Tamandua tetradactyla: one gene and its partners. The protein of the gene in region 1 interacts with the protein of each later gene in a pairwise test. Links are inferred from orthologs where the notes say so. Each region holds a gene or a part of one and is shown in the gene's direction. Other genes may lie near its edges. The genes, in order: EMD, CEP70, LUZP4 and BYSL.

Region 1 (6,451 bases):
GAGGGATGAGCTCACCACCCGGCTAGGGCCGCCAGCGCTGGGGGAGGGGGGGTGGGGGTGGGTGCTTGCTTCGAGCTCCCGCGGGGTCTGCAGGGCCCACGTCTCAGCCCAGCCCTTTAGACATCGGCTTGCTGCGTTTGGGGGAGCCAAGGGCTCCCCAGGCAGAAAGGCCCAGCTCCAAGGCCACCTCCTCCAGGAAGCCCACCCCCACTCCCCAGAGTCAGGGCCCTCTGCACCCACCATCCTCTGCTCCAGCCCGGGCTGGGAAAGCAAATCGGTTTCTGTTGCCCTGGGAGGGAAGAAGTAGGGGACGGGGTAGGTCAAAGGCAGGGGCAGGTGTCCACTGAGCATCTACTAGATGAAAGGCCTGGGGCAGAGCTGAATGGAGGGGGCAGTCTTAACAGCCACCATGTGCTTGACCCCTGTTGGGTGCCAGGCTGACCTAGGGGCGTGCAGCGGAAACCCACGGACTTCTCAGCAGTCCCCTCCTGCAGAGGGCCCGTTAGACACAGTCCCAGAGCTTGGGAGAGCGCAGGAGGGTGCAGCCAAGAGCCAAGGGTCCGTGAGCTGGGCGGGCACAGACCTGCCACACCTTCCTTTTCTCCATGCCCATTGCCTCCAAGGTGCGGTTCCACATCAAACGCCACTTTCTCTTAGGAAGTCCACATAAAGCGCTGTCTTTTTACCACATCGCCCACCATCCCATAAGGATTCCGTTTTACATCCTGAACCAGCGCGCGCACACACTAAAGAACTGAAACACATTTTCAGAAAATAAGACTTTTCTTTTGCAGCTGGACCCACAGTGCCCGGGCTGGGGTGGGGTCATGGCAGTGGGGCAACTTCACTAGGAGTGAAGATGAGCTCAGAGATCCCCAGGTCCAGAAGGGGGCTACTGGGACTCATGGCCGTGTCAGTCCATTGGGGAGGGACACCCACAGGCCAAAAGCAGGTGCCAACCAGGCTAGGAGTGCCATTGCTGGAAGGGGCGCAGGGGTGGCTCTGTGGAGTCTCCAGACTCCCACCTCCACTGGAACTCCCTCTTTACACTCACACCCCCTTCCCCAAGCCCACACTGCAAACACATGCAGCTCTTCGGCATCTCGACCTGTTCCAAGTCTGGGTGGAATGGGTTGTACAGCACTAGCTGTTCCCTGGTGAAGATCATAATCAATGAAAGCCATGGCGTGGAAGAGACAGGGAAAGCACCCGAATCACCATTCCTAACCGCCAGGGCAAGCTGCCTCTCCACCCAGCCATCCCCAGAGCATTAAGATGAGCTGATGCGTCCTAGGGCCCAGACACAATGCTTTGAATGGGCAGCTCTCCATTCAAAGTTTTATAGCGATTGTGACAATCATCGACGCATTATTTTTCACCACAATCCTCATCGCATGACTTCGTACACCATCTGAGCGATGTGTCAAGGGATTCGAAAAGCAGCTAAAACCCAAAGGATCTTGAATAGCCTGAAGAGAAAAGTTAAGGCTCGTCTCTTTTCATGTTGAACAACATTCTGATTTTAAAGAAAACATTGTTTATAGCTCAATGAATGACTGCCTCCCTGTACATGGATGCTGAGAAATGTATTCCAGTAGATATGTTTCATTGCCTATAACTTTCAAGAGTGAAAGTCTCTTCCCCTCTCTGGGCCCCTGATTCTCCACTATATAGTGTGGGGGTGGGGGATGTTGCAGAGGGCCTGTTAACTCTGATGGTCAAGGCTTCACCTAGTTACTGGTGGTCTGGGGTGGAGCTGCACTGGCAATGGGACTGGACGTGGGCTCCAGGTGCCCACTGGGTGGGCACAGGGGGACCGCCCACAGTTCAGCCTCCTGGAGTCATCTGCGGTGAGACCTTATGGGGAGGGGGCACAAAAGAGTGCTGGGGCAGGTGCCGGGGGTGGGATGGGGGACTGTGTTCCTTGGGGAGAAGGCAAACCTAGAATTCCTTGACCGCAAAAGGAAACAGCTTGGATCCGCGTGGGGAGGGGCGGCGAGGGGGGGAGGACAGAGCGGCCAGAACGGCTCTGTACACGCGGGCCTCTGGGAGAGGGGCCAGCATTGCAAAAGAAGGTTCTCGGAGGTGCTGGGGCATCTGATCTTGCCAAAACACGAAACTATGCCCAGCCTGGAGCCCAGATCACCCTCCCCTCCTCTGCTCTGCTGAGGGATCAGGAGCAGGCCCCCTGTTCTAGGGCTAGCATCTCCTCCTTCTGCAGAGAACGGTGTTGTCACAGACCCGCTTGCCTCCCCTCCATGCAGCAGGAGACAGGGCAGGGCCAGGACGGACCTTGTCTTTTCAACCCTGGGCCACGGTGACTCTTCAGAAGGGTCTCTGTCTGTGGTTCAGTCCCCACCCCCACTGGGTAAACCTCCATCCAGAACCAGTCTGTGGCCCCCACGGCTGGGCAGACCAGCCTGGGTCTGCCTGGAGCCCTCCCTCTTTATCTGCAGCCAAGACGGGTCATCCAGTAGGGCAGGTGACTCTTCTCTCCGGGCTCCCCGGGGTGCACCCCAGTTTGCCCCACACCCCATTAGGCCGGCTTTGTTTAGAAGAGGACTGCCAGCCCCTCCCCACACTCCAGCGGACAGTCTCTTTCCGAGCAAGGTCTTTATCTCCTCCCAGCCACACTCCGTGTAACCTCAGCAGGCCTCGGCAGGCTTCTGCGGTTTGCACGCCATCCACACCCCTCCTTTGGCCACCCGTCCTGCCATTGTCCCTGCAGCGGGCTCAGACCCCTCTGACAGGTCCATCTGACTCGAGAGCCAACCCCCTCCGCGGGGGGCCCTGCTAGGCCACCTCTGTCCCACTCAGCTCAAGGGCCATTCCCACAGGAGAGGAAGCCCCCCCCTCCCTCGGGGAAGGCCGGCAGGTGGGGTGGCGGGCACACGCTGTCCCAGCACGCGTCATGTCAGCGTCCCGTGCCAGTGAGTGCTAGCCGGCCCGGGCCCCTTGGAAGGCTGGTTGTCCCTGGAATGCCTGCGGCCTCCTGGCCCAGTGCCCCCTTTCCTGCGAGCGCAGGCGGGAGGGAGGTGGTGAGTGCGGGACGGGCACAGGTGCGTGGGCCAGGGAGGGGACAGGGGTCTAGGAGGTGGCGGGCCTTAGAGTCGCGGCCCTAGCTGGCGGTGGCTTCCCTCGCTTGCCGCGTGCAGAGCGCCCGGGAACAAGCCCTGCCCGGAGCCGGGGCTCTCCAAGTATCTCCGGGCCTGAGGAGCCCCTTTATCCCGAAGCCTGGGGAAGGGGACAGTGACCAGGGCGGAGGGACTGAGGCGCCTCTGCCCACGTGACTCAGGGCGCACGAGCCACTTCCAGCGCGCCGCCCTGCCCCGCTAGCCTGACCGGTTTCCGCCGGTTGGGCTCCCGAGCACGCCCCGCCCCGCTCCCATGTCTGCCCGTACACACCAGCGTGTGACGTCTTTGTTCGCAGGCTCCGCCCCTCCCTCGGGCGCGCAGTCGCACCGCCCTCCCTGATACACCCTGGCCTGCACCGCTCTGGTTCCCGCGCAGGCCCCGCCCCTCTCCCACGTCTAGCCCGGGCACGCCAGGGTGTGACGTCTTGGCTCGCCAGCCCCGCCCCACTCCCACGTCCCGGCCGGTCGGCGGGGTTTCGGCTCCCGCGGAGGCCCCGCCCCACTTCCGCTTCTAGCCCGAACATACCAGCTAGTGACGTCTGCGCTCCTCAGCCCCGCCCCGCCCCCACGTCCAGGTCCGAACGCGCCGCTTCGGCGCCCACGCAGGCCCCGCCCCCTCCCGCGCGCAGCCCGTACCCTCTCGTTTGTGAAGTCACCGCCTGCCGGCCCCGCCCGCTCTCACGTTCGGGCCCGGCTCTCCCGCCCCGGCGCCGCCCGCCCCCACTTCCAGACCGGTCTGCGCCGGCTGCGCCCCCGCGCCTCGCTCCCGACCCCCCGCCCCCCACCCGGCAGCGCGCAGGCCTGGGCCGCGGAGACGCGGTCGTGACGTGGTCGAGCGGTTGCCTCGCACCCGTCGCCGCGCTCCCAGGCTACCGTTGCCAGTCCGCGTCCCCCAGCCCGGCCTGCCTCCCAGGCCTCCGCCGCCGTCGCCGCCGCCCGCCCGAGGCCCAGGGCCGGCCTCGCCATGGACGACTACGCGGTTCTGTCGGACGCCGAGCTGGTGGCCGTGCTGCGCCAGTACAACATCCCGCACGGGCCCATCGTGGGTACGCTGCCTGCGGGCGGGCGGGCGGGCTGCGGGCGGGAGGGTGGCCTCCCTGTGCCACTGACGCGCCCCGGGCTCTGTCTGTGCCCAGGCTCCACCCGCAAGCTCTACGAGAAGAAAATCTTCGAGTACGAAACCCAGAGGCGCCGACTCTCGCCCCCGAACTCCTCCTCCTCCTCGTCGTTCTCGTATCGCTTCTCGGGTGAGCCCTTTCCTCCCCTCCCCCCAATCCCAGACCACCCAGGGCCCCTTGCCACCGGAGGGGACCCGGCTGGGGCGGCCGGGAAGCCAGGGTCCGGGCCAGGAGGGCCACCTGCGCCTGGGGGCGGGGAGACCTGAGCTCAGATGTCCCCTCGGTCCCTGCCCCCTCGGTCCCCAGACCTGGATTCAGCCTCGGTGGACTCGGATATGTACGACCTGCCCAAGAAAGAGGATGACTTGCTGTACCAGAGCAAGGGTAAGGCAGGGAGGGGTGCTGGGGGGGTGCTGGGGAGGGGGCACCCTGAGACCCTCGCCCCACTCTGCCGTGGACTCTGGTCTTAGGAGGGCCTGAGATCTCAGTTCCCACCCGGCCCTGGAGGGGAGAGATTAGTGTCACCCCCAAAGTGCAGAATTCAGGTGAGGGCCACCAGCCGGATGGGGGGGCTACTGACGGAGCCTGTGCTACCCACCCCCTGCCTCTCCTCAAGGCTACAACGACGACTACTATGAGGAGAGTTACCTGAGTACCGAGACTTATGGGGAGTCTAGTTCCGGGGGCACATCCGAGGGCTTCCGGGAGCCCCGAACCTCACTCCAGGATGCCGACACCTTTCACCAACAGGTGAGCCAGAACTTGGGCAGAACTGGATAAAGCCATGGGGTCAGGGGGTGGACATGGGGGGCTCCTTCCCAGTTCCCTGGCGTCCCAGGAGGAGTGGGGGCCAAGCAGTGCCCTGGTTGGGGGGTGGGGGCAGGGGTGTTGACACTGGTGGACCAGACCCCGCCCCAGCCAGTGCACACCTGCACCCTGGTCTGGGCTCTGGGTTTGAGCTGGTTCTCAGTCCTGGGGAACAGAGGCAGCCAGGACAGTCACTGAGCAAGTGGCAAAGCCCAGAGAGGTCTTGGAGGGCTTAGGGCCCTTAACCTTGAAGCAGCGGTTAGAGCAGGCTGGCCAGCTCTGCCCCTCACCTTGACTATCTCTTCCAGGTGCAGGATGACAACCATTTCTCCTCTTCTGAAGAGGAGAGCAAGGAGAGGTGAGCAGCGGGGAGCGCCCCAGGAGGGAAGGCTGGGCGCAGGGGGCAGGGGCGGGAGCCAATCCTGGGCCGGGTCCAGCCTGGCTTACCTGTGCCCCTCTCTGCCTCAGGGAGTGCCCCTCGTACGCCCGGGACAGCGCGTACCAGAGCATCGCGCACTACCGCCCGCTTTCGAACATGGGCAGGAACTCCCTGGGCCCGTCCTATTACCCTACATCCTCCTCCACCTCCTCAGCCTCCTCTTCCTCCTCTTCCCCACCTTCGTGGCTGACCCGCCGGGCCATCCGGCCCGAAAAGCAGGCCCCTGGGGCAGGGTTGGGGCAGGAGCGCCAGGTCCCGCTTTGGGGCCAGCTGCTCCTTTTCTTGGTCTTTGCTGCCTTCCTGGTGTTCGTTTACTACTCAATGCAGGCCGAAGAGGGCAACCCCTTTTGGATGGAGCCCTGAGGGCCTGGTTTCCTGGCCAGCTCTTCTCAGAAGACCTGGCTCAACTGCCTTAGCAGTGTTTTGGTGGGGGTGGGGGTGGGGGTGGGGGGTGGGAGCTTACCTGTGTGTTTCTATCTTTTGGGGAGCTAGGCCTGGCCCAGATCAGTGCTTTGGTCCCCTCCCCCTTCTGCCTCATCCTGCTGGGGAGGTGGCAGGCTCAGGCCTTCCTCACTTGCTGGGCCCAGCGGGGTCTCCTGGCCCTGTTTGCCTTGAACCTGTGGGGCCCTGGCAGGACCTGCCGCTGTTCCTTCCAAGGAGCACATAGCTGTTGTTTTCATGCATGCGTCCTGTTCATGTCACCACTGTGGAGGAGTCACCAGAGGCCACCCCAACTTTGTTTTCGTGGACACACAATAAAAAGACCGTTTATTTTGAAGGCATTGGCTTTTCCTGCTTGGGGGAGTGGGTCGGCAATGTGTCGGGATTCCCAGGGCACAGGGTGTCTGGATCTGGGGTCTGAAGGCTCCGTATCTGCCTTTCTTGGCTTTGCTGTCTTGCTTTTGTCGTTGGGCAAAGGGATCAGATGCTACCCATGGCTATGTCTGTTTGTT
Region 2 (7,910 bases), on another chromosome or scaffold:
AATCATGTTTTTCCACTATGGATTTATTTCTTAAATCTGTCTAGAGTTCATTTCAAGTATTATAGCAAACGGGAGCTGGAAGAGACCTAAGAGATCCTCTTGGTCCCAAGTTTCTCAAATGGAGGTTCAAGAGGCCCCAAGGGTATGAGGCAGCAGGTCAGGGAATACATAAAACTCCAAGATAAAGATAAACATGATGCATCTTCTGGAAGCATCAATGTTACACAATGGTAACCAATTTAAAATTCAATCATTATTTTAATTTTAGAAGGCTATATTATGGTGGAATATATTTTAAATTTTTTCCTTTTTTAAAGATAACTTGGAAGAAACGTTGAGTTTGCAGGTAACAGCCAGGGATATGCTAGTTCACTTTCTGAGTGTGAAAGGCATAGGCCCATGCAATCCACTTAATTACCGGTGCCAATAATGAATCTACAAGTTATGTGGCTAGCAAGGCCCAGGACAGAACTGGAGCCCAATATTCATGTGCAATTAACTAAACAGTAATTGAATTGCAGTGCTAATTGTGTTTTGCTAAAATCAGATGCACACACATATGTGGACAAGAAACCTTCCATGTTTGAAGATTTGGGATTAACAGTTCCACCCCTACAATAGGTTCAACTCTTCTTTGCTTCCCAGGTCTGCCCCTAGCCCAGCTCTCTCCTTAAGCGCCTTGCAAAAGTTGCCCAAGGAATCTCTTGGTTAAAAATGAGATTATGCAAATTGTCTTTGGTTGGAAACTGCTAGAAGCAACCAGTTGTTAAAAACATATTAAAGAAGCAGCAATTTAAAAGGCATAGAAAGGCTAAGAATTTTTAAAAGAACATGAGGTAGATTAAAAACACTGTACCTAAAATAAATCCCTCTTTTTCTTATTACCATGGTACAAATTTGTGGATTTATCTAGTTTTAAGAAACCCTACATATCTCTACGAAAAGTGGAGGGTGTCCTATAATGATAAAAGCAAGGAGAATATATAGCAATAGAGTAAGCCAAGCAAATTAATGTAAATTTTGATAAGGCATCCTTTGTAAATCAAAGTAGGCTTGGAGATATCATTCAAGTTTTCCTCTACAACTTTCAAAGACACTAGAAAGTTCAGTGATGCGGCATACAAACCTAAAAGAATTGCCCAGCTTTCCACTATAAGACACTTCAAATATTACTAAATCACACTAAGATATGGCATGGTACCATCCTAATTATAATAACTTTTCATATAGATGTATAAAAGATAACATGCAATCAAATTGGAAGTAAGATTAGAAATCAAGAACACATTTTTAAAAAAAGTTTTCCCTAAACTATCAACATATTGAAGTTATTTATCTAAAAGATAGTAATTTTTCATTTTCCAATAATTGCTAGTGGACACTATAGGTGAGAACTACATGCAATGGTCAGAGGAAAGGTTGGTGGAATCCAACGCTGCTTAGAATACTGTATATATCAAAAGCAATGTTCTTCTTACACACACATTCACAGGAAAATTACACAATTATGTTACTCTCCTTGCTTGTTTTTCTATAGACCCATTTAAATAAGAAAAGGTTGCTTTAATGTAGCCAGTAATATTTCAATTTTTCTTGTTCATGTTATCTGCTATTTTAAGAAAAAGACTAAAATATTTTCATAATTATTCCTGAGAACCTTAATAGCATATTTGGCTTATAAAAGGCAGCAGTCATGGGCAAGCAGTGGTGGCTCAGTGGCAGGGTTCTCGCCTGCCATGCCGGAGACCTGGGTTTGATTCCCGGTACCAGCCCATGCAAAAAAAAAAAATCACTAAAAGGCAGCAATGCTCCAAATTTTGTACCATTTCAAGGGCAGAGATTGGCTGAAAAAAAGTGATTTCTATACAAGGATTAAAGTGAGCACTATTTTACAACAGCCACAATCAAAATATTAGTTACACAATTTTCAGCTTTACAAGAAAAAAAAAAAAAAACTCTATGAGATCATCTACTCCCAGCCCGCTCCCTCATTATGGGAAAATCAAAGTAATAAGACATCCCTCCAAATGTCACCCCCAACCACAGAGACCTAGCTTTTACTATTTATCCAGCTCCCTAACAAGGCTGTTGAGGTCCCAATAATGTGTATGGAGCAAAAAAAATGTCCACATAATCTCACCATAAAGAATATCCGAATATCCCCTACCAATAAATTTCATTAATTGTATGGGGAAAATGTACAAAATGAACTCTGCCTTTTGCTTTTGGTCTTCTCTCTTATTGCAGAAGTTTTGCTGGTTTTGTGACCTCTGTCACTTCACATATTTCATTTCAAACTGTATATATATCCTCTAAAATACTGAGCACTTTTAAATTTACTTGGAATTGCTCCACTGGATCATAAGTAGGGGAGCCCATGTACAACACATTCTTAATAGCCATAAAGGTAAATGATTAAAAGACTGATGTGTTTTTTGGCTACTCAAATGAGGGGGAAAATTAAAAATCATTGGTCAGCATCAAATGCATATAAAAGAATGCGGTGAGTCTTTTAGTGAAACTTGAGATAAAATTGAGATTTAGGCTAAAGGTCTGAAACAAAGTAAATGTGAATAATATGAATATGAATAATTATTCCAAAACCTCAACAGGCACTAAAGCACAGAGATCAATATTTACTTAGATTTTAAAATACTTTGAGCCATCTACTGAGTTTTCATTTTTGAGAGTGTCTTCAGAAAAAAAGGTACCTTAAATCCTCTATAACTGGCAACTTCTCTGGATGGCCTGCATGAATCAATACATGAATAACTATCTACCTGAGCAAAATATAATCCACTCATTCAAAAATAGTTACTAAATGCCTACTTAGTGTCCTGAAAGCACTGCAAAGCCAACCAACCACACCCTTTAAAAAACGGTTTTGTATGATTTGAAGGAGCAGCTATGCTCTGCCTATTTACTCAAGGGAGGTGTACTTTCACAACCAGTTTCCTTACAGTAAATATCCAGTATTCAGTTTTTCCCAGTCAACAAACATTTATTTGAGCCCACTATTAAAAAACACTATACTAGGTGCTGTCAGTGATTTGAAAATAAGCCTCTGTCCCTAACGAATGTATTCGCTTCAATTAGTTTTCAGTCACCACAAGGACCAGATGCCCTGCCCTGAAGTTTGCTGAATGTGATTATTATACCTATAGGGAAGGGATGATCACAACTCTCCTTGTCCTTGATTTCTACTATAGTCATATGAATATTGAGAAATACCTATTAAAAGTTGCACAAAGAGTTGTGAGTTACAAATCCGATTTAAAAGCACAGGTCATATTTTAAATTCATCCAGCATAGTGATAGTTATTGGACATTTATGTCCTAGGCACGGAGCTCAGAGGAAACAGACGCAGGCTCTGGGAAACCAACGGAGGATCACAAGAAGGAGCCTACAGAAGGTTCTATTCCAGCCAAACCTGCAGGACAGCCAGGGTAGGCTTTGGTTTAAAACTAGGGGAAATGGATTAATCCACTATCATTTTTTAGCTCGTATTCATATGCTTAATTTTCAGGTATGTGACCAAATAGGAAAATTATAAACCACAATTTCCCCCTCTATTTTAGGAAACAGATTTAAAAACATATATGAAGAGGATGGAAAAACAAATTGCTTTCACTGATGGGGAAGATGTTACTTGAAACTTTTCATATGTCTTCAAAGAAAGCTTTTTCAATGTCTACTTACCCATCTGCATAATTTTAAAAAATCCCTTTCCTGCATAACCCAATACCCCTGTTTTGGAGCAGCATTTCAACCACTGAGCCGTTTCCACTGCTTATCCACCCTACCCTGAATTTTACCTTGACTTAGGTTTAACTGTACTGGGGCTGCAGTGGTTTGTCCAAGATAAACCTAAGGCAGTTAAAAAAAAAAGTCACTGATAAAAATGTTCAGTTCCCTTTTCAGGAACAGCTCCGGGTAAGGCCAGTTAGTCACGAGGGGATGCTCAGTGATTTTTCATTCTGAGAAAACTAAGGCCCTCCAACCAAGCCGGCCGCAAGCTCCTTGGACCAGGTATTCCCAAATGCTACCAGATGTGCAGATCCGGGAATATTTTTTTCTTAGGGCCATTTTGCAATGTACGCCTTAAGATTTATGACGGAGTCATTCTAAATAAATAATCATGCTATAAATTAAACAAAAAGCAGGGAACAGTGCTCAACGAACTGCTTTTCTTTTCCTTTTTTTTAATAGCTGAAAATGGAAAAACACCTGTTCGTTCACCCTCAGCGACTCCATTAGGGAGGCCGCGGGCCAGTCCCTCCACAAACCCGACGGCCCCGGGCGGGCCGCGGCGTCCAGCTGGCCCCCACGAGCGCCCAGCAGCACCCCCGTGAAAGGGTGCGGAGAGCAGTCACACCAGGGTGGCCGTGCGCCATGCAGCGGTGAGAGAAGCCACCCAGGTTCTGCAAGAACAAACTGCTCAGCTGACGGGGAAAACGCGCTGCAAGGAAAAGCCCCTTAAGGTCTACCGCGTCGCCGCGGGGAAGCAGGAGTTCCGCCGCGGAGCTTGTCCCCTGAGCTGTCCGCTCCACTCTTTCACGGCGACAAGCATCAAAGTCTGAGCTAAGAGGCCAGAGGCTGGGCCGGCCCCGGGCAGGGCCACTCGGGCAGGGCCGGCCTCGCCGCGCCTCCGCCCCCAGGGAGCGGGCAGCCGGGGGCGCCCGGGGCCTCGGCGGGGCTGACCCAGGGCGCCCGGACACTCCACGCGGCCCGCGCCTCTCCGGCAGGGGCTCGCCGGCCCCCGCGTGGACGACGCCTGCTGCTCCGGGATACCCGCCCGCCGCCGGGCCCTGGCCGCCGCCGCAGCGGACCCGCCCGGGTCTGGGGCCCGCTCCCCGCCCGGCTCACCTGACGCCGTGGGCTGCGCCGAGCACCGCGGTGGGTCCGACAGCGCCGCTTGGGCCGCGCGGCCTCCTCCCTCGCCGAGCACTAGACGCAGCGCGCGCCCAGGCCGAAAGCTCGGCGGACGGTGAGTCCCAAAGGCGCCGACCGTTTGTCGCGCTCCAGGTCCCCCGGGACGCGCAGCGCAGACCGCCCCCTCCGCCCCGCGCGACCGCCCGCGCCCCCACCCCCGGCTTCGCCCTCCCGGCACAGGCCCTTCTCCAGTCCCCAACCCAAACAGGGCCCGGGTCCGCAGCGAATCCAGTCGGCCTGCCAACAGGTAGTGCAGGAGCCAGCCGTGTGCCAGGCCTGAGCGGGACCCTGGGCTGCCTCTGGGGCAAAACAGACCCGCCAGGGCTGTCAGGTTTCCCTTTAAGGCAGGGAAACCCGATCCTGGATGGAATTCGCTCCTTAAAACCTTTTTATGGACCCCTGTTGTTTCTTCAGTTTAAAAGCCGAAACTACTTAAGGTGGACTTGTGCGAGCTAGCTCATGCCCACGTGGCTTCTAAAGATCCTCAAAAGCTGCTCCATCCTTGTCACCCCAGGGTCTCCGCAGCTGCTCTTCACTCTGCCGGGACGCTCCTCCCCGTCTCTTTCCCCGCTTAACTTCCATTTTGTTGCGATTCCTCTAAAGATGTAATTTCTTAAGAAAATCTATCCCAGCCCCTAAAACTTGCAGTACTTGGAATTCTTCCTAGTCCCTTTCAGGGTATACCTGTTTGTGTAATTTCTGCTTAATGTGTGACTTAATGATAGACAGTGGCGTCGATGAGGATAGAGAGCATGGCTGCTTGGCTCTCACACGTGGTTGCCCCCACCTGCACAGGGGAGGGTCATGGTAGGCTCTGCTAAATACTTGCTGCATGAATGAACAGCAGGCCTGGGTGAGGTTTTAGGTGGCCCTGATTTTCATTTTAATAAGGAGACAGTGTCACTTGTAGAGGGTGAGGAGAGTTGTTGAGTGGGCCACCAGAAAGGAGCAGTGGAGATTTGGAGTGGGCCCTGTGGAGAGTGGGTCCAGCATGCGACTGGACATGCATGAAGGGATTCTGAAGGTCCAGCCATCTGGGGGGCTTGTGGTCGCAGGGCCCCATTGTAAGTTCTCACAGCCTGAGGTTAATGGAGAGGATTGTTTCACCTTTGGGACTGTCATGGTGGATGTGGTTTATATAGGTGCCAAGCAAATAGGTGAGAGAAGGGGGAGTTGAGTGACAGGAGGGATCCACCAATTGGTTCGATTAGCCAGTTTGCAAAGTAATGACTAAATTCTTAAGCAAATTTTTATAGGGATTCTACTTGGCCAGCGCTGATTTCTCCTTTGCTACCCTGTATTAATGACTGAGGACTAAAACTTTTCATATTTGTATTTTCTCTTTGAATAGAGAATTTTCAAGAAATGATTGTTTAAAGAATGAATTGGGGGGAAAGATAAAAAGATCACAGAGTGGAAATTTCCAGAGATGGATCAAGGCTGCCGAAGACATATTTCTAATTTCTCTTTTCCTAATCATTAACTCTTCTGAGAAACAACCCTGAGTCGTTGGGCTAAGACTAGGAAACCCTGGTCACTGACCAGCTCAGATATTGTTTAATGAAGGGTCATATTTTCTTATAAAACCTGAGGAATCTGGGTATCTTTTTTTGGGATGGGGGTGGGACCGTATGGTCCGGGATTTGAACCAGGGTCTCCCACCTGGAAGGCAAGCATTTTACAGCTGAACCACCCATGCACCCCATGAATCTGGGTGTCTTTTATAAGACCTATAGGTGCATTAAGCGCTTGATATATGTGCCTTGTATATCATTGTTTCTAATTTTCACAACAGCCCTCTAATATGTTTACCCCCATTTTACAGAGCACCCCCAAAGCCCTTCACAAGTTTCAGGACCAGGCCTATGGGATTTGAAAAGTTCAGGTTTACAGGGCCTGTTATTAGTTAAGTATTTATTGCACTGGAAGAAAAATACTAGTCTGTGGAGTGCAGGAGAGTTCAGCTTACCTGTGTAGGTGCACCTGAGTCTGCACCAACAGTCAGAAAGGCAGGCTGTGAGTCCTCAGCGGGTTTGTTTTGTGCCACTGTTTCCTCTTTGGGTTTGGTTTCTGGGATACCTGGAATTGGAGGAACATACCACTTTTGGCTGAGTTTTCCCCTACTCATTCTCTGGGCTGAGGACATCTGAATTAGGAACAGTCACTGGCTACCTGTCACAACTGTAATGGAAAGAAAGCCTGAACAAAACCACTGTGAAAGTTTTGAACTTGAATAAGAAATTTATTCATTTAGGCTAATCCTGCATTTGACTTTATTCTTACTCTCTGATTGTGCTTTTTTGTTCCCCAGGAAGATGCTACTCGAACCTCATACATGGTGCCCCCCCAGCTTGCCCTTAGGACACCGCTAATTTAAGAGGGCAGCTGAAAAAACACTTTCACTCACAGTTGCCCTTGTTTTCACTGGGCCTCCTTTTGTAAAAGAAATGGTTAATGCAGTGACAGATTTTCTGAACTAACTTCTCAGCATTAATGGATACCCCCCCAAAAAGAAAAGTTGCATACATCTTTACCTATAAATTTTTCCATGGGCCCTTCCAGTCCTGGTCCAGCATAACTACTGGGCATGTGTTAAAGGAGGAGGATCAGTGCTTTAGAAACCAACCCAGGACCCAGATATTCTGGCTGCTGGGCCAGCCTCAGAGGGTCGCGTGTCAGAACCAGCGCCAGAAACTGTGGTCTCCTGCTGCTGGCCGGGCTGCTGCTGCTCAGACATCGTCCTGAGTACAGGGAGTCCCTGCTCAGTCTACACAAACAGAAAGTAAAGCAGCAGCACAGCCAGGCCTCAATGTGGAGCTTCAGACACGAAAACCTGGACAACACCAGGAGAGACCAGATTTTGATCTGTTATCTTGAAAGTGGGATTTGTAAGGAGGACAATTCAGACTCATGTTCCAATTGAACAAAACTATTTTTTTAAATCGTCTTTATTTTATTCTGAGAAACATTAAAGATA
Region 3 (7,375 bases), about 47 Mb from region 1:
TTTCATTAACTGTTCTTTAGCTTTGCTTGATTCCTTTTCAAGATTTCTATCTCTTTATTGATATTCTCTTTGTGTTCATCTTTGTTTTCCTGAATTCATTTATTTCTTGGCCTATGTTTTCCTTCAGTTGCTTGATAATATTTAGGACCACTTTTTTTTACATTTTTTATTGTATAATATAATATATATACAAAACAAAGAAAGAAAAAAGCAATACTTTTCAAAGCACTCTTCAACGAGTTATTACAGGATGAATCCCAGAGTTTATCATGGGTTACCATATGATCCTCTCAGATTTTTCCTTCTAGCTGTTCCATAATATAGGAGGCTAGAAGGAATAAATATTTTTTTATCATCACAATTGCTTTTTTTCTTTTTTGTGAAAAATAACATATATACAAAAAAGCAATAACTTTCAAAGCATAACACAATAATTAGTTTTAATACATATTTCAGAGTTTGATATGGGTTACAATTCCACAATTTAAGCTTTTTACTTCTAGCTGCTCTAAAATATTGGAAACTCAAAGAGATATCAACTTAATGATTTAGCAGTCATATTCATTTATTAAATCCTAACTTCTCTGTATAACTCTAGCATCACCTTTGATCTCTCTATTCCTCTCTTTAGTGGTGTTTGGGAATATGCCCATTCTAACTTTTTCACATTGAAAGGGTCTGTCAGTAATATGGGCTAGGCAGATGGAACTATCTGATGTTCTGGAGAGGCTGGGCTAAGTTTCAGGACATATCTGGACAAGCGACCCATCTGGAGGTTGTAGGTTTCTGCAAAGTTCCTCTAGTGCATGGAACCCTTTTGGAATCTTATATATTGCCCTAGGTGTTCTTTAGGATTGGCTGGAATGGTCCTGGGTGGAGTTTGGCAGGTTATGATAGGTAGCAAGGTCTAACTAAAGCTTGTTTAAGAGCAACCTCCAGAGTATACTCTCAACTCTATTTCAACTCTCTCTGCCACTGGTTCCTTATTAGTTACATTTCTTTTCCTCCTTTTGGTCAGGATGGAATTGTTGATTCCACAGTGCCAAGGCTGGACTCATCCCTGGGAGTCACCTCCCACTCTGCCAGGGAGACTTTCATCCCTGGGTGTCATGTCCCACATAGTTAAGATCATTTTTTAAAATGTGTTTCTGTTATGGCTAAAAGCCTGTCATTCTGTGTTAATGGGTTCTGATATGTCATCTTGTTTCTTTTAATGAGCTTCCATTTCCTGCTTCTTTTTGTGCCTTGTGATCTTTTCACATACAGTTCACTTTAATATGTTAATGTGTTACTCTGAAATTTATTTTCTGAGCTATTTATCCTTAAGTGTATTCCAGCTAATGATATGACAGAGATTTCCTTGAATGCCAGAAACTAACAAAAGCAAAAAAATCAAATACAAAAAAACCTTTTAGAGTTTTGCAAATTGGCTTGATTTGGGCTGGTGCTCTCCTTTCCTGCTTAATTCTCCTACCAATTAACCTGGTAATAAGCTGCAGGGGAAAGTACAGGGTCCTGTCTTGATTCTTCTGTGTTTATTTCTTGCCTGGGGTATGTGCTGGTAGTCTTAGGACTTCCCCTATTTACAGGTATCTTAATGCGCCTTCTTATTGCTATTAAATGGACTTTCCAAGCCCCGGGTTTCTGTTGTATGCCTTAAAGCTGAAAATCTTTTTCCCAGAAAATAGTAATTTTATTTTTCTTTGGATTATTTTTTACACAGATTTCGCTGTCTATAAGCTGCTTCTGCATGCAGGGCAAGTTCTGGGATTGCAGGCCAGAGATGAGTGCCTTGCTTTAGCGTCAGTCCCCATGCTGCCACGAGCTAAACAGGCATAGACATATGGAACCCCAGTATGCACATAGGGATTACTCTGCTCCCTTAAGATCAGGACCAGGGACCTAACTGAGAGAAGGCAGCTCTCCACTTAGCTGGGGAGAAGTGAGGGCCTAGCAAGGGCACCAGAAGTTTTTCCTACTGATTTTCTTGTCTTTTTTTTTTTTAATTAGGTGCTTTCCAAGTTACAGCAACTCTTTAAATGTTTTCCAGAAATCTGAGGAAGATGGCTTTGCCAGTTTTTGCTAGTTATTCTTAGATTCTGTGGGGTAATGAAACCCTGGAATGTCTCACACCAGCACATTCATCCTATTTTGATTGTTATTTCCTCTGACAGACCAATGACAACCATAGGATTCCTCTAACATTTTAAAATAATATATATTGAGCAGTATTGACATGATAATCAGAACAATTCCATTTTTCTTAAGAAATGCCATGGACACATGTTAAGGGAAGTCATTAAAATCTTGTGGCACACTGGTCTGGGCACCATTGGATCAACAATGCCATCGTGACCAAAAGGGGGAAAAGAAGTGTAACAAATAAGGTAACAGTGGCTGAGAGAGTTCAGATAGAGTCGAGAGGCTACACTGAACATCACTCTGACATATGCTTCAGTTAGACATTGCTACCTATTGTAACTTGTCAAACCCCAACAAAACCATTCCTGCCAATCTTAAAGAATACCTAGAGCATTACATAAGATCCTACAAAGGTTCCATGCACTAGGGTAACTCTCCAAAGCCTACAACCTCCAGAAGGGTCCCTGGACCAAATAAGTCCTGAAATGCAGAGGGACCAGACTTTCCAGAACATCAACTAGTTCCATCCCCCTATCACATAGTACTGACAGCTCCTTCTAGCATGAAAACGTTAGAATGGTATAGTCCAAATACCCCTAAAGAGTTATAGAAAGATCAGAGGTGGTGTGGAGTTACACAGAGAAGGTCAGGTATAACAAATGAGTATGATGCTCTAGTACCTTAGAGCAACTAGAGATAAAAACCTAAAATCGTGTAATTGTAAACCCATACCAAGCTCTGAAATTTGTTCTACAATTAATAGTTGTGATGTACTTTCAAATTTATTGCTTCAATGTATATATGTTATTTAAAGAGAAGGAGGAGTATAACAGAGAAGATAGGATTTAACAAATGAGTGTGACTGCTGAATCATTATATTGATATTTCTGTTGGTCTCCAGTGTCTTGAAAAGCTAGAAGAAAAAAGAAAAATCATGGAACTGTAACCCATACCATACCTTAAAATCTGTTCTATGACTACCTGTTAAAATGTACTCGGAAAGTTACCGCTTTTTTGTATATATGTTATATTTCACAATAACAAAAAACACAATTTAAAATATACACATATGGTTAAGTCCTGAAATGCAGAGAGGCCAGCCTTTCCAGAACACCAACTTGTTATATCCCCCTATTCCATATTATCAACAGCCCCTTCCAACATGAAAAAGTTAGAATAGGAATGGCCCAAATACCCCCAAAGAGTGGGAGAAGGATCAAAGATGATGGTGGAGTCATACAGAGAAGGTCAGGTTTAACATATGAGTGCTGAATCATCATGCTGATATTTCTTTTAGCCTCCAATACCTTAGAACAGCTAGAAATAAAAACCTTAAACTGTGAAATTGTAATCTATGCCAAAATCTGAAATCTGTTCTACTAGTTGTTGCAATGTACTTTGAAATTTATTTCTTTTATGTATATATGTTATTTAAAGAGAAAGAGGGGTATTACCCAGAGAATAGGATTTAACAAATCAGTATGACTGCGGAATCATTATTTTGATATTTATGTTGGTCTCCAGTGTCTCAGAGCAGCTAGAAGAAAAAAAAAGAAAGAAAAATCATGGAATGGTAACACATACCAAACCATAAAATCTGTACTATAACTACTGGTTAAAACGTACTTGGAAATTGATTGATTTCTTACATATATGTTATATTTCACAAATTAAAAAAATGTTGGTTTTTTTTTTTTTTTTTTTTTTAATAATATATAGGCAGGCACCGGGAATTGAACCCGGGTCCTCTTGCATGGCAGGCAAACATTCTTGCCTGCTGAGCCACCGTGGCCCGCCTGTGGATGTAACCTATTTGCTAAATTTGTGTTAGCCCTTCCAGTGTGCGATGCAACCCAGTAAGTCAACAACATAGTGGTTTATGCTCCAGGAATGGCAAAAGCAAAGAGAAGAAATGGTTCCTTCTAAGAACTATGGAAATTTAGGGTCAACATATCCAGAAAAAAACAAACTTGTGGCTGGCTGAGAGGTGCTTGTACATGAGAAGAGAAAGTTTTATAAAGGATGAAAAAGAGATAGGTGGGTCTTTTTATTTATTTGTTTGTTTGTTTGTTTTACTGGAGTGCCAACTTCCGGACAGGAGAACCCGTAAATGGTATATGCCTAGCTCCACCCCTTGGGGCCATAGCAACAGTAAAGAGCGAGGATTGTGATTGGGGGAAAGCCTGGATAAAAACCTTGGGAGCAGTTAGGGGGCGCTAAGTAAGCCCTAGCTTCGGGCGTGGGGCAGTTGTCCTGAGGAGATGGCTTCGTTTTCGAGCGGAAAACTTTCTGGAAAGGTGCTGATAGATCCCAAAACTGGGAAGAAGATGAACTTTCTAGATATGTCTCTAGGTAAGTAGATCCTAAAGCCCCACTGTGTTAATCTAGGCTTGCCGCCCTTGAGCGGTATACCTCAGCATAGGGCGGGCTAGAAGTGTCGCCACGAGGGGCACACACGCTAACTGAAAGGCTTTTGCGTTGGCTGAGGAGCTTTTGCGTCTGCATTCCCCCGCCAGTCCTAGCTAAACCCCGGGCCACCTCGACCCCCGGTCTCTCCTCTCAGCAGCTATTTTCCATGCACCTGCAGGGGACTGCGGAGAGGGCAGTGGGGAGAATAATGAGACGGTCGTTTCAAAATGTATTAGCTTGGGCGGGCCATGGTCTCTCAGCAGGTAGGAATGCTTGCCTGTGATGCCAGAGGACCCGGGTTCGATTCCCGGTGCCTGCCCATGTTTAAAAAAATATATATATATATATATATATATAAATTCTCTCAAGAATTGATACCGAACTTCCCGCCCTCTTCAGACAAGCGGGGTCACAAGCTCTGTTCTTCTCAGTCAAAGCATAAATTATAAATATCTAGATTAGGAACAGGAGGAGAGGTTAGTTTGCGGGGATCTCCAGTGATCCTGAGAGTAGCATGCTTGCAGACTACAGGCGAAGTAGTGTGTTTTCTGTCAGTTATTCCGTCTGGACCTGTCTTTGCTAGAGCCCTTTAATGTTTTACCTCAGACTTCTATACCAATAGTGGGTCCTTAGCAAAAATAATAATAATAATAATAAAGAAAGAAAGAAAGAAAGAAAAAAAAAAAAGAAAAAAAGTCACACAAGGTCCCTAACCCCCACAACTCGCACCACACTCAGAAAATGTATATATATATATTTTTTACTTGAGCCAATATCGCCTTTCTCTCATGCCAGCTCAGAAATGTGTGCCCAGGATGTAGGGACAGTAGATAAATGAGGGAGGGGAGGGAGCAGAACGGGGAAGAAGAAACTAGAATTGAGGGGCAAGAGCAAAAGGGACTTTAGACGTGAGAGGGGCTGGAGCAGAGTCGTGAGGGAAGGAAAAGCAGGAAGGGTGAACCTTAGAAATGAGAAGAGTTTGGAAAGCAGTGATAGTATACCAGAGAAATGAACGTGTTGAGGTACGAAAACGACAAGGGCAGAGCTTAGAAATGGAGGGGGGAGCAGAGCACGTGGCGATGAACAGGAAGTGTGTCCATTAGAAATGGGGTGGAGCTGAGACGGTAATGCTGGGACATTAGAAATGGGGCGGAGCTGAGAAGGTAATGCTGGGACATTAGAAATGGGGCGGAGCTGAGAAGGTAATGCTGGGACATTAGAAATGGGGCGGAGCTGAGAAGGTAATGCTGGGACATTAGAAATGGGGCGGAGCTGAGACGGTAATGCTGGGACATTAGAAATGGGGCGGAGCTGAGAAGGTAATGCTGGGACATTAGAAATGGGGCGGAGCTGAGAAGGTAATGCTGGGACATTAGAAATGGGGCGGAGCTGAGACGGTAATGCTGGGACATTAGAAATGGGGCGGAGCTGAGACGGTAATGCTGGGACATTAGAAATGGGGCGGAGCTGAGAAGGTAATGCTGGGACATTAGAAATGGGGCGGAGCTGAGAAGGTAATGCTGGGACATTAGAAATGGGGCGGAGCTGAGACGGCAATGCTGGGACATTAGAAATGGGGCGGAGCTGAGAAGGCAATGCTGGGACATTAGAAATGGGGCGGAGCTGAGAAGGCAATGCTGGGACATTAGAAATGGGGCGGAGCTGAGACGGCAATGCTGGGACATTAGAAATGGGGCGGAGCTGACAAGGCAATGCTGGGACATTAGAAATGGGGCGGAGCTGACAAGGCAATGCTGGGACATTAGAAATGGGGCGGAGCTGACAAGGCAATGCTGGGACATTAGAAATGGGGCGGAGCTGACAAGGCAATGCTGGGACATTAGAAATGGGGCGGAGCTGACAAGGCAATGCTGGGACATTAGAAATGGGGCGGCGCTGACAAGGCAATGCTGGGACATTAGAAATGGGGCGGAGCTGACAAGGCAATGCTGGGACATTAGAAATGGGGCGGCGCTGACAAGGCAATGCTGGGACATTAGAAATGGGGCGGCGCTGAGAAGGCAATGCTGGGACATTAGAAATGGGGCGGAGCTGACAAGGCAATGCTGGGACATTAGAAATGGGGCGGAGCTGACAAGGCAATGCTGGGACATTAGAAATGGGGCGGAGCTGAGACGGCAATGCTGGGACATTAGAAATGGGGCGGAGCTGAGACGGCAATGCTGGGACATTAGAAATGGGGCGGCGCTGAGACGGCAATGCTGGGACATTAGAAATGGGGCGGAGCTGACAAGGCAATGCTGGGACATTAGAAATGCGGCGGAGCTGAGACGGCAATGCTGGGACATTAGAAATGGGGCGGAGCTGAGACGGCAATGCTGGGACATTAGAAATGGGGCGGCGCTGAGACGGCAATGCTGGGACATTAGAAATGGGGCGGAGCTGACAAGGCAATGCTGGGACATTAGAAATGCGGCGGAGCTGAGACGGCAATGCTGGGACATTAGAAATGGGGCGGAGCTGAGACGGCAATGCTGGGACATTAGAAATGGGGCGGAGCTGAGAAGGCAATGCTGGGACATTAGAAATGGGGCGGAGCTGAGAAGGTAATGCTGGGACATTAGAAATGGGGCGGAGCTGAGACGGTAATGCTGGGACATTAGAAATGGGGCGGAGCTGAGACGGTAATGCTGGGACATTAGAAATGGGGCGGAGCTGAGAAGGTAATGCTGGGACATTAGAAATGGGGCGGAGCTGAGAAGGTAATGCTGGGACATTAGAAATGGGGCGGAGCTGAGACGGCAATGCTGGGACATTAGAAATGGGGCGGAGCTGAGAAGGCAATGCTGGGACATTAGAAATG
Region 4 (7,575 bases), on another chromosome or scaffold:
ATATAAATTTTGTGCCAACTAAGCATCTCACCCTCTAGTTTCACACAGATGTTGAAGTTTTAAAATATGGATGATATCATCCTTTACCCTGTATTCTGATATACCTTAGTCCTACCCAGATCAGCTTCACTCATATCTCTACTCAAAGTATGATCAATTTTTCAGCTTTTCAAACAGTTCCCACGTGGGGTACTACTGACTTTCAAAGCTTCAGAGCTCTAACTTTGTGACTCAATGTTTACTGCTCTTTCCATTCTATCTCACAACCTGCCACAAATGTCCTCTATCTCCCCAAATAGACTGTAATTTCCTTAAAAATAAGGGTCCAATCAGCAAAACAGGGGCCATACCAGGTAGATTAACTAGAAGTAGTATGCCACCTTATATCTATAAGCAAATGTCTTATTTTCCAAATGCTTTCATAACTATTATCGCTTTTGATTCTTATATATTTCCAGTTGAAGGCAAAACAAACATTGCAATTCCACCACTGATGAAAGCCTGTACAGCTATCAGCTCCAATTTATTAAATGACAACCTCAGTTGAAAGTGTTTTGCATATATTAACTTATTTAATTGCTACAATAATACTAGGAGATAAGTACTTTAACTGTCTTCATTTTATACATTAGAAGAATCCAAGACATATTGGGAAGATCCAAAAACAAAGACCACAATAGGTAGTTTCAACAGAGGGAATTTATCATAGGGAACAAAATACAGGGATTGGAAGGACCGAAAAAGTAAAAAGTATGGTATGGCAACCCAGAGAACAGCAATACAGGAAGCCACAACCATCTATGGGCTGCAGGGAAAATGAGAAGATGTGCTGTTACTAGCCAGGAAGTGGGGTTACCTAGCAGAAGCTAGAGCCAAGGAGACATGGTTAGGGCCAGGGACACCGTCCAAAGCATAAGGAAAGGAAGGCAAATACTTGTGGTCTCCCTTTCTGCAATCTTCTTCCTGTGCCTTAGACTGCAGGAGATGTCAGGGAATGAATCTACAAGGAAATAGGCAAATCACTGGAATAGGAACAGCCACAGATGGGTTATGGGACTTATTTAAAGTTGTACATTTATTAAGTGGCAGAGTTGGGACTTAGGGGCCTGGTTCCACAACCCTACTTTTAGTAGCCGGGTTGTGAAATCATCTAAGAATGTATATATTTAGCAAGTTACCGCTAGGGCCAAAACTAAGAAAACTCAGGTTCCCTAACTCATATTCAAAGATCCTCTTTCCCTCCCTGCCAGCACAATTACCATCCACACTCCAGTCAATGTGATACATTTAAGACAAAAGCTGATTCATTGGTCAATGTCAATGTTACACTAATATGGCCAAAGCCACTGGCTAGGTGAGGGAAACAGAAAGCCTTTAGGCAGAAAGTACAAAAAGAAAAAATTATAAAGACTTCTGAGCCTAAAAAAAGGGATCTTTTTCAAATTTTTAAGTGGATAAGGTTCATTTGGGGAACAAGTAACCCAGGTGATGCTGATGCAATTGGTCAATGATCAATTCTTTAAAAGAAACAATGTTTTAAAAGTTCCCAAAAAGAAAACAAAATAGCTCCAGTCTAACAGATGAAGAAACAACAACTTAAAGAATTCAGAAACACAACTAGATCAGAAAGACTTTAGTGAACATGAATGTCCATCAACGCCAAGCCAGGTTGCAGCCATCCTACAGTGCAATCCCACTGACCTTGGCTGCCAAGGGTGGAAGCCGCCGTATGGTAGGTCTCACAGTCCACACAAAATGTTCCTTGTTTCTCTGCTCCAAGCATCTCCAATTTCCGGGTGAGGAGCTCCACAGTCTGCTGGACACTCTTGCCCTCAGCCACAGGCATCTGGGACACACTGGAAGGAAAAGGACCAAATCATTAGCATCCAGAAACACACATGCACTAGTATAGCCATTCAACAAGCCAACTGCTCACTCACAGCATCACAAGTCATCAGGAGTTACTTTAGAGACCACTCCACTCACGTGACTCTTAATTTTAAAGATGAAGAAACAGAGGCCCACAGTCTCTGAGAGTTCCTCTAGGAACTACAGCACAGGTTTCAGGACTCATGTACCAGTACAGTGAACTTCCCATCACACCAACATCTACTGATGTTAACTGTGCCATCATGCAAGAGATGTTAGGCTGAGTATTCAATAACACTGAATCACATAAAACAAGAGATTCCCTTAGTAATTTTTTTCAGTTCTAAATATATCAAGGAGAAAGTCTCAATTTGATTTAGTACTTTTTTCTTTTTTTTTTTTTTTACATGGGCAGGCACCAGGAATCGAACCCGGGTCCTCTGGCATGGCAGGCAAGCATCCTTGCCTGCTGAGCCACCGTGGCCAGCCCGATTTAGTACATTTTTACTAACTCTAACACTTTCAACTTATGTTCTTCAGTAGAGTAACAATTAGCCACATCTGGCTATTTAAATTAATAAAACAAATTAAATGAAATATTCAGCTCCTCAGTAGCACTGCCCAGATTTCAGGGGATCAATAGCCACAAGTGCATAGTGGAAAATGTTGATATGGAAAATTTCTATCATCTCAGAAAGTTCTATTTGACAGCCTTGAACAAACAGAAAGCAGAGTTCAAATTTATAATCTTTGGGAGTGGGAGGCAGTGGCATCTACAAGAATTTAATAATGCAGGAAAACGAAACATGTTATTTCCAAGATTTCCTTCTACTTGAGGGTGAGTGAAACTGGCTTCCCCTTTAGAGTAATAGATAACAAGTACCTACCATGTGCCAGACAGTGTACTTCAGGTGAATTAACTCTAAAATGGGGACTTCAGATGAATTAACTCTTCCAGTCCTCACAACAACCCTATAAGAGGTGTTATTATTTATCTCCTTGCTGCAAATGAGTAAACTGAGGTACAGAGAGGTTAACTAATGAGCCCAAGGTCAGACATTCTCTCTAAGGATGTAGTTGCCTGTTAAATAACATTTAAAGGAATAAACTTAAAAGAAAACATTAGTACCTAATAGTATAGCTGGTAACTAGCTATGGCAAAAATCATGAAGACAATCATATGCCTGTACTTTGGTAGACAATGCATTACTTTATGATCAATCGATTAAACGAAGCTAATAAGTTAGAGTCCTACTGCCGCTAAAAATTGTCACTACTATCTCTCAGAAAAAGCACGGTTATATAATAGTGATGTGACTTAATTTTACACAGAAGAGGATCCTAAAAACTAATGCTACAAGGATAAGTTCTAAGATTCTGAAAAAGTTGGAAAAAGATAGAAAGCACAACAGATAGAAAGGCCTTTCTCTCTGGATGCTTTCTCTTTTGAAAGACCAGGGGTTTCCAGGATTTCAAGCCTCTGTGCTGTGAACTTTTTATTCCCATCACTCACATATCTCCCTAACACCAGAGGACTCGAAGATCCTCTCGAAGGTCTACCGTGAGAAGCTAGGGCACAATCAGACAATCCTGTAAGAGCCTGAGTTACAAGAAAAAGCATTTCCCACAGGTTGTTATATGAGAAGTCAAGAGCCACTAACTTCGGATATCCCAGTCCCCAGTTCTCTCTGACAGGAAAGATGTGCACACCTGAAGACATTTTTTTTTAATGTCCTGAAACCTAACATTTTGTAACTAACACCTCCAAAATATTAGACCCACGCCTTTCCCTATCACCTTGCCTTCTTCCAACTGTGGCTTATAACATGTTAGAGAGAGAAAGCCCATAGAAAGTAGAACCTTGTAATTTAACATAGCAGGAAACAGGTCCTGTGAAGAGGTGAAGCAACTGCAACTCCATCTCCTAATTTCTAATAGTTTATTTTATATAATGGCCAATGTAGAACCAAACACTTTTTGTGGCTGTAGGGAGGGGCAAGAGAGACCTAAAAAAAAAAAAAAAAAGGCATTCTACTCGTTGCCTGACCACCACTTTCTTCAGCCCTGCTTGCGGACGGGTCCTGGTGCGGATATCCTATCCCCAAAGCTGAAGTACTCCTAGCAGTACCATAACATAAGGTGCAGGAAAATGTACGAAGAAAAAAGGAAAGGAGGTACACAACCACTGATAGGCTCCTAGGATTAAAAACTCCTACCTGCCCCCCCCCCCCCCAAAAAAAATCTTACCTGCTGCCTTCCAGGAGAAAGGAGCTTATCTCCGAAGAAACAGACCCCGAGAACCTGCAACCTTCGCGGGATCCCCTCACCCATATAACCCAGGGGCATTTTGTTCAGTTCCCTCAGGGTGTCGGAGAACCCCGGTCCCGCTACACCTCTCGGTCCAGTCAGGCTCCAAGGGCAACTTCATGATCCCAAAACCCGTCTCACAAAATCCCAAGTGGTCTGTGCAGTCTTACCAAGTCACTCCCATGGTGTCGGATGAGAGGGTGGCAGATTCAAACAGCTGAAACGCGGTGCTCTCCGACCGCCCACATTAAATGAAGCCCCCAAAAGTAAGCTTCGGTCGAGGGAGAAGGCACCGGAAGTTATATAAAAACAAAGCGTCCCATGGATGCGCCAGGAGGGTACAGAGACGTGCTTGGGCGCTCTCACCGTGACGTATGCAGAGACGTCACGCAGCCCAGTGACAGCTTCAGGCTTGGAAGTATGGACGTCCTATTTGGCTGGATACCCAGACTTGGATCTGCGATGCTTGGAAAGCATGGTTCGAACTGCCACCACTTACAGCAGTCATCGTTAAATGCAAAGAATTTATTCAGGATTTGAATTTATTCAGGGCCCGTGCGAACTTTTAGGGAGTGGAGTTGGGTGTCGCTGACGGCATTTCTGTCCTCCAATCACTCGGGGGCGCTGTGCTCTCCGCGCGGCCTGGTAGGCTTTGGAAGTTCACTGCACAAGCGCACTCTCGGCTGCTCGCCTCTGTCCCCACGTGTGAAGGTTCGCGGCCACTTTTTCGAGAAAAATGCCCAAATTCAAGGCGGCCCGGGGAGCCGGGGGTCAAGGAAAACTTGCGCCCCTGGCCGAGCAGATCCTAGCTGGGGACGCAGTGCGGGCCGGGACCCGGGAAAAGCGGCGGAGCCGCGGCACCGGAGAAGAGGAAGAGTATGTGGGGCCCCGACTGACCCGACGAATTTTGCAGCAAGCGAGGCAGCAGCAGGAGGAGCTGGAGGCCGAGCATGGCGCTGGGGAAAGGCCCATGGGGCCGAGGGAGCGCACCGCGCGGCTGGGTGAGCGGCCGGGAATGGGGTGCGAGGGAGAGAGTGGATACTTGGATGAATGGCTGAAAGGTGTCCGTCAGGGGAGAAGCTTGGAGTTTTGAAAAAAGTGCCCATATTACGCTCTTTAGAAAGTAATGGGATGGGAGACCGAGCCCTGAAGCGGATTTAAGGTGGTCCAACCCCACCTCAACCCACCCCTGCCCACTCCTAGTTTTAGGCAGTAAGATTCTAGGGGTCCTAGGCGCCCCTAAAATTAGGCCAGCGGGATGTGATCGCTCATTATCCATTAAATTGTCCTGGTATTTATCCACTTGCTCCATAAGTGTTTATAAGGAAGTTTGGATAATTTGGGTACAGAAACGAACAAGTTTGACACTGTCCTTTCCCCTAAAGCCAATCTGACCTCTCTACTACTTTCTGCGCTTGCTCTCTCCACTCCACCCCACCCAGCCATATAGCTTCATTGTTCCTTGAAGTTGGCAGATTAGGGCCTTTTCCCTGGTTGTTCTCTCTGCCTAGCATGTTCAGTTCCTATACACCTGCAGGCTTACTTGCTTAATTCTTCACCTTTTCAAAGAGGACTTTTCTGACCACTCTATTTAAAATTCCAGTACCCACATTCCAGTTTCAACAGTCCTAGCAGCGCTCCTTTGTCTCATTTTTTTTTTCCATTCCAGTTGTCTTCTTTTGACCCAGTGTATTGATTTGTTATGTTTATTTATGATCTGTGTCCCCCAGTTAAAATGTACCAGAGATTCTACGAGGACAGAAATTTGTTTCTCTTGTTCACTGATGTATTCCCAGTATCCTGAACAGTGCCCTACATATAGGAGGCATCAATGTTTGCTGAATGAATTGATTAAAGAAGGATGGTGAGGTACATAGGAGCTTTTGTAGACCTGGAGGCCATACCAAGATTTAAAGCTATCTAACATTGATCAGACCAAATGTGTGGTTCCAGAAGTTTAGATTGGCTGTAGAGTAGAGAATTTGTTGAAAGAAAGCAAGGTCAGTAGCATGGAGACTAGTTAAGGGATTGGTGAATGAATCTAGCAAGAAATGATGCTGGTCTAGGTTTAGAAAGGGCTGTGAAGGATTTGAGAGATACTCCATGAGGTAGAATCGAATAGGACTTCGTAATTGATTGGGTTTGCAGGCTGAGAATATGGACAAGGCAGGGCTGGGAGGTAGTCACCACAGTAAGTGGTGCAGTCTTGGGGAAAAGAATGAGTTCACTTGGTGACAGATGAAGTGCCTGGGTCATCTAAGGAGGGTACAGGAGAAGCCTGGAGTTAGCATCTGGATCTAAGAAGAAAGTATGGATTTGGAAGTTGTTGACATGTGAGAACAAAATATTTGTGTATTCCCCCTCCCCCCACCCTAATTTTAGTTCTTTCATCACACAATGCTCTGTTCTTAATGATCTGTTCCTATGTAGTATTTTCTCTCCTCGATTGGATTAGTACCCCTCCTCCCAGATGCCCACCAACCTCTAGTCTTCAAAAAATCAGTTACTCAAATTGGTTGTTGGATTGAAATAACTCCACTGCCTCACCTCTTAAGACTCTCCACAGTCTGGCTTCAATTTACCATTGTAGCCCTATTTCTTGCCACTACCTAACACAATCGAATCAGTCCCACGTTGCCAGGAAGGTCCACACCCCTGGGATTCATGTCCCACGCAGAGAGGGGGAGGGTGGTGAGACTGCTCGTCATGTTGGCTGGAGGGAGAGGCCACATCTGAGCAACAAAAGAGGCTCTCTTGGGGGTGACTCTTAGGCCTAAATTTTAAGTAGACTTGACCTATCCTTTGTGTGGGGTTAAGTTTCATATGAACAAACCCCAAGACTGGGGGCTCAGGCTACAGCTTTGGTTGTCCACACTGCTTGTGAGAAGATCAAAAATTCGACTTGGGGAGGTTGAATTTCTCCCTGCTCTCACCATTCCCCGAAGGGGGCTTGAAAATACTTTTCCACTCACTGATCAAATCACTCTGGGATTCATCGGGGCATCACTCTGGACAAACCAACAAAATCTCACATCCTACCTGAGATTCCAAGTACTTATGACGTTCAATCAAACTATCTACATAAGTTATATTAGGAAATGCTCTAGTCAAGATATAAATTTTGTAACAAATAAACATTTTTTGCTTTAGTCTCACACGTAAAGTGACATTTTAAAATATTAATTACCATCTATTTTCAGCACCCTGCAATAATGACATTCCTTTATTCTTCCTCATGCAAAAACATTTTTAAAATTTGTACATTGTACATTTCACTATTGTTATACACTCTAGGCATTCCTAGATTATACTATCTCAATCTTTAACATCTATCTTTCTTTCTGATTTCATTTATGTCCCCAGCCCTCCTCCCTCTATCATTTCCACATGCAGCTTCAT

What was found.
Region 2: the proteins of EMD (region 1) and CEP70 interact in binary tests that used the Homo sapiens proteins (3 or more experiments, as listed by UniProt). The two-hybrid records come from large-scale screens. The link is inferred for Tamandua tetradactyla from reciprocal best matches to the Homo sapiens genes EMD and CEP70.
Region 3: the proteins of EMD (region 1) and LUZP4 interact in binary tests that used the Homo sapiens proteins (3 or more experiments, as listed by UniProt). The two-hybrid records come from large-scale screens. The link is inferred for Tamandua tetradactyla from reciprocal best matches to the Homo sapiens genes EMD and LUZP4.
Region 4: the proteins of EMD (region 1) and BYSL interact in binary tests that used the Homo sapiens proteins (3 or more experiments, as listed by UniProt). The two-hybrid records come from large-scale screens. The link is inferred for Tamandua tetradactyla from reciprocal best matches to the Homo sapiens genes EMD and BYSL.

What each region holds. Positions count from the first base shown.
Region 1 is NC_135353.1:6,569,377-6,575,827, reverse strand, and holds EMD (emerin), read left to right. Parts: upstream 1-3,936; 5' UTR 3,937-4,098; coding exon 4,099-4,180; intron 4,181-4,270; coding exon 4,271-4,381; intron 4,382-4,558; coding exon 4,559-4,636; intron 4,637-4,868; coding exon 4,869-5,002; intron 5,003-5,367; coding exon 5,368-5,417; intron 5,418-5,527; coding exon 5,528-5,861; 3' UTR 5,862-5,935; downstream 5,936-6,451. UniProt on the Homo sapiens protein: Stabilizes and promotes the formation of a nuclear actin cortical network. Stimulates actin polymerization in vitro by binding and stabilizing the pointed end of growing filaments. Inhibits beta-catenin activity by preventing its accumulation in the nucleus.
Region 2 is NC_135341.1:82,637,435-82,645,344, reverse strand, and holds the start of CEP70 (centrosomal protein of 70 kDa), read left to right. Parts: upstream 1-4,907; 5' UTR 4,908-4,988; intron 4,989-6,902; exon of another isoform or gene 6,903-7,012; intron 7,013-7,910.
Region 3 is NC_135353.1:53,552,829-53,560,203, reverse strand, and holds the start of LUZP4 (leucine zipper protein 4), read left to right. Parts: upstream 1-4,375; 5' UTR 4,376-4,403; coding exon 4,404-4,494; intron 4,495-7,375. UniProt on the Homo sapiens protein: Export adapter involved in mRNA nuclear export in cancer cells. Binds and enhances the RNA-binding activity of the nuclear RNA export factor NXF1. Can restore mRNA export function in cells compromised by loss of mRNA export adapters.
Region 4 is NC_135331.1:99,516,761-99,524,335, forward strand, and holds the start of BYSL (bystin), read left to right. Parts: upstream 1-4,563; 5' UTR 4,564-4,912; coding exon 4,913-5,177; intron 5,178-7,575. Other genes in the region: MED20 (mediator of RNA polymerase II transcription subunit 20), read right to left, coding at 1,702-1,856, 4,347-4,360. UniProt on the Homo sapiens protein: Required for processing of 20S pre-rRNA precursor and biogenesis of 40S ribosomal subunits. May be required for trophinin-dependent regulation of cell adhesion during implantation of human embryos.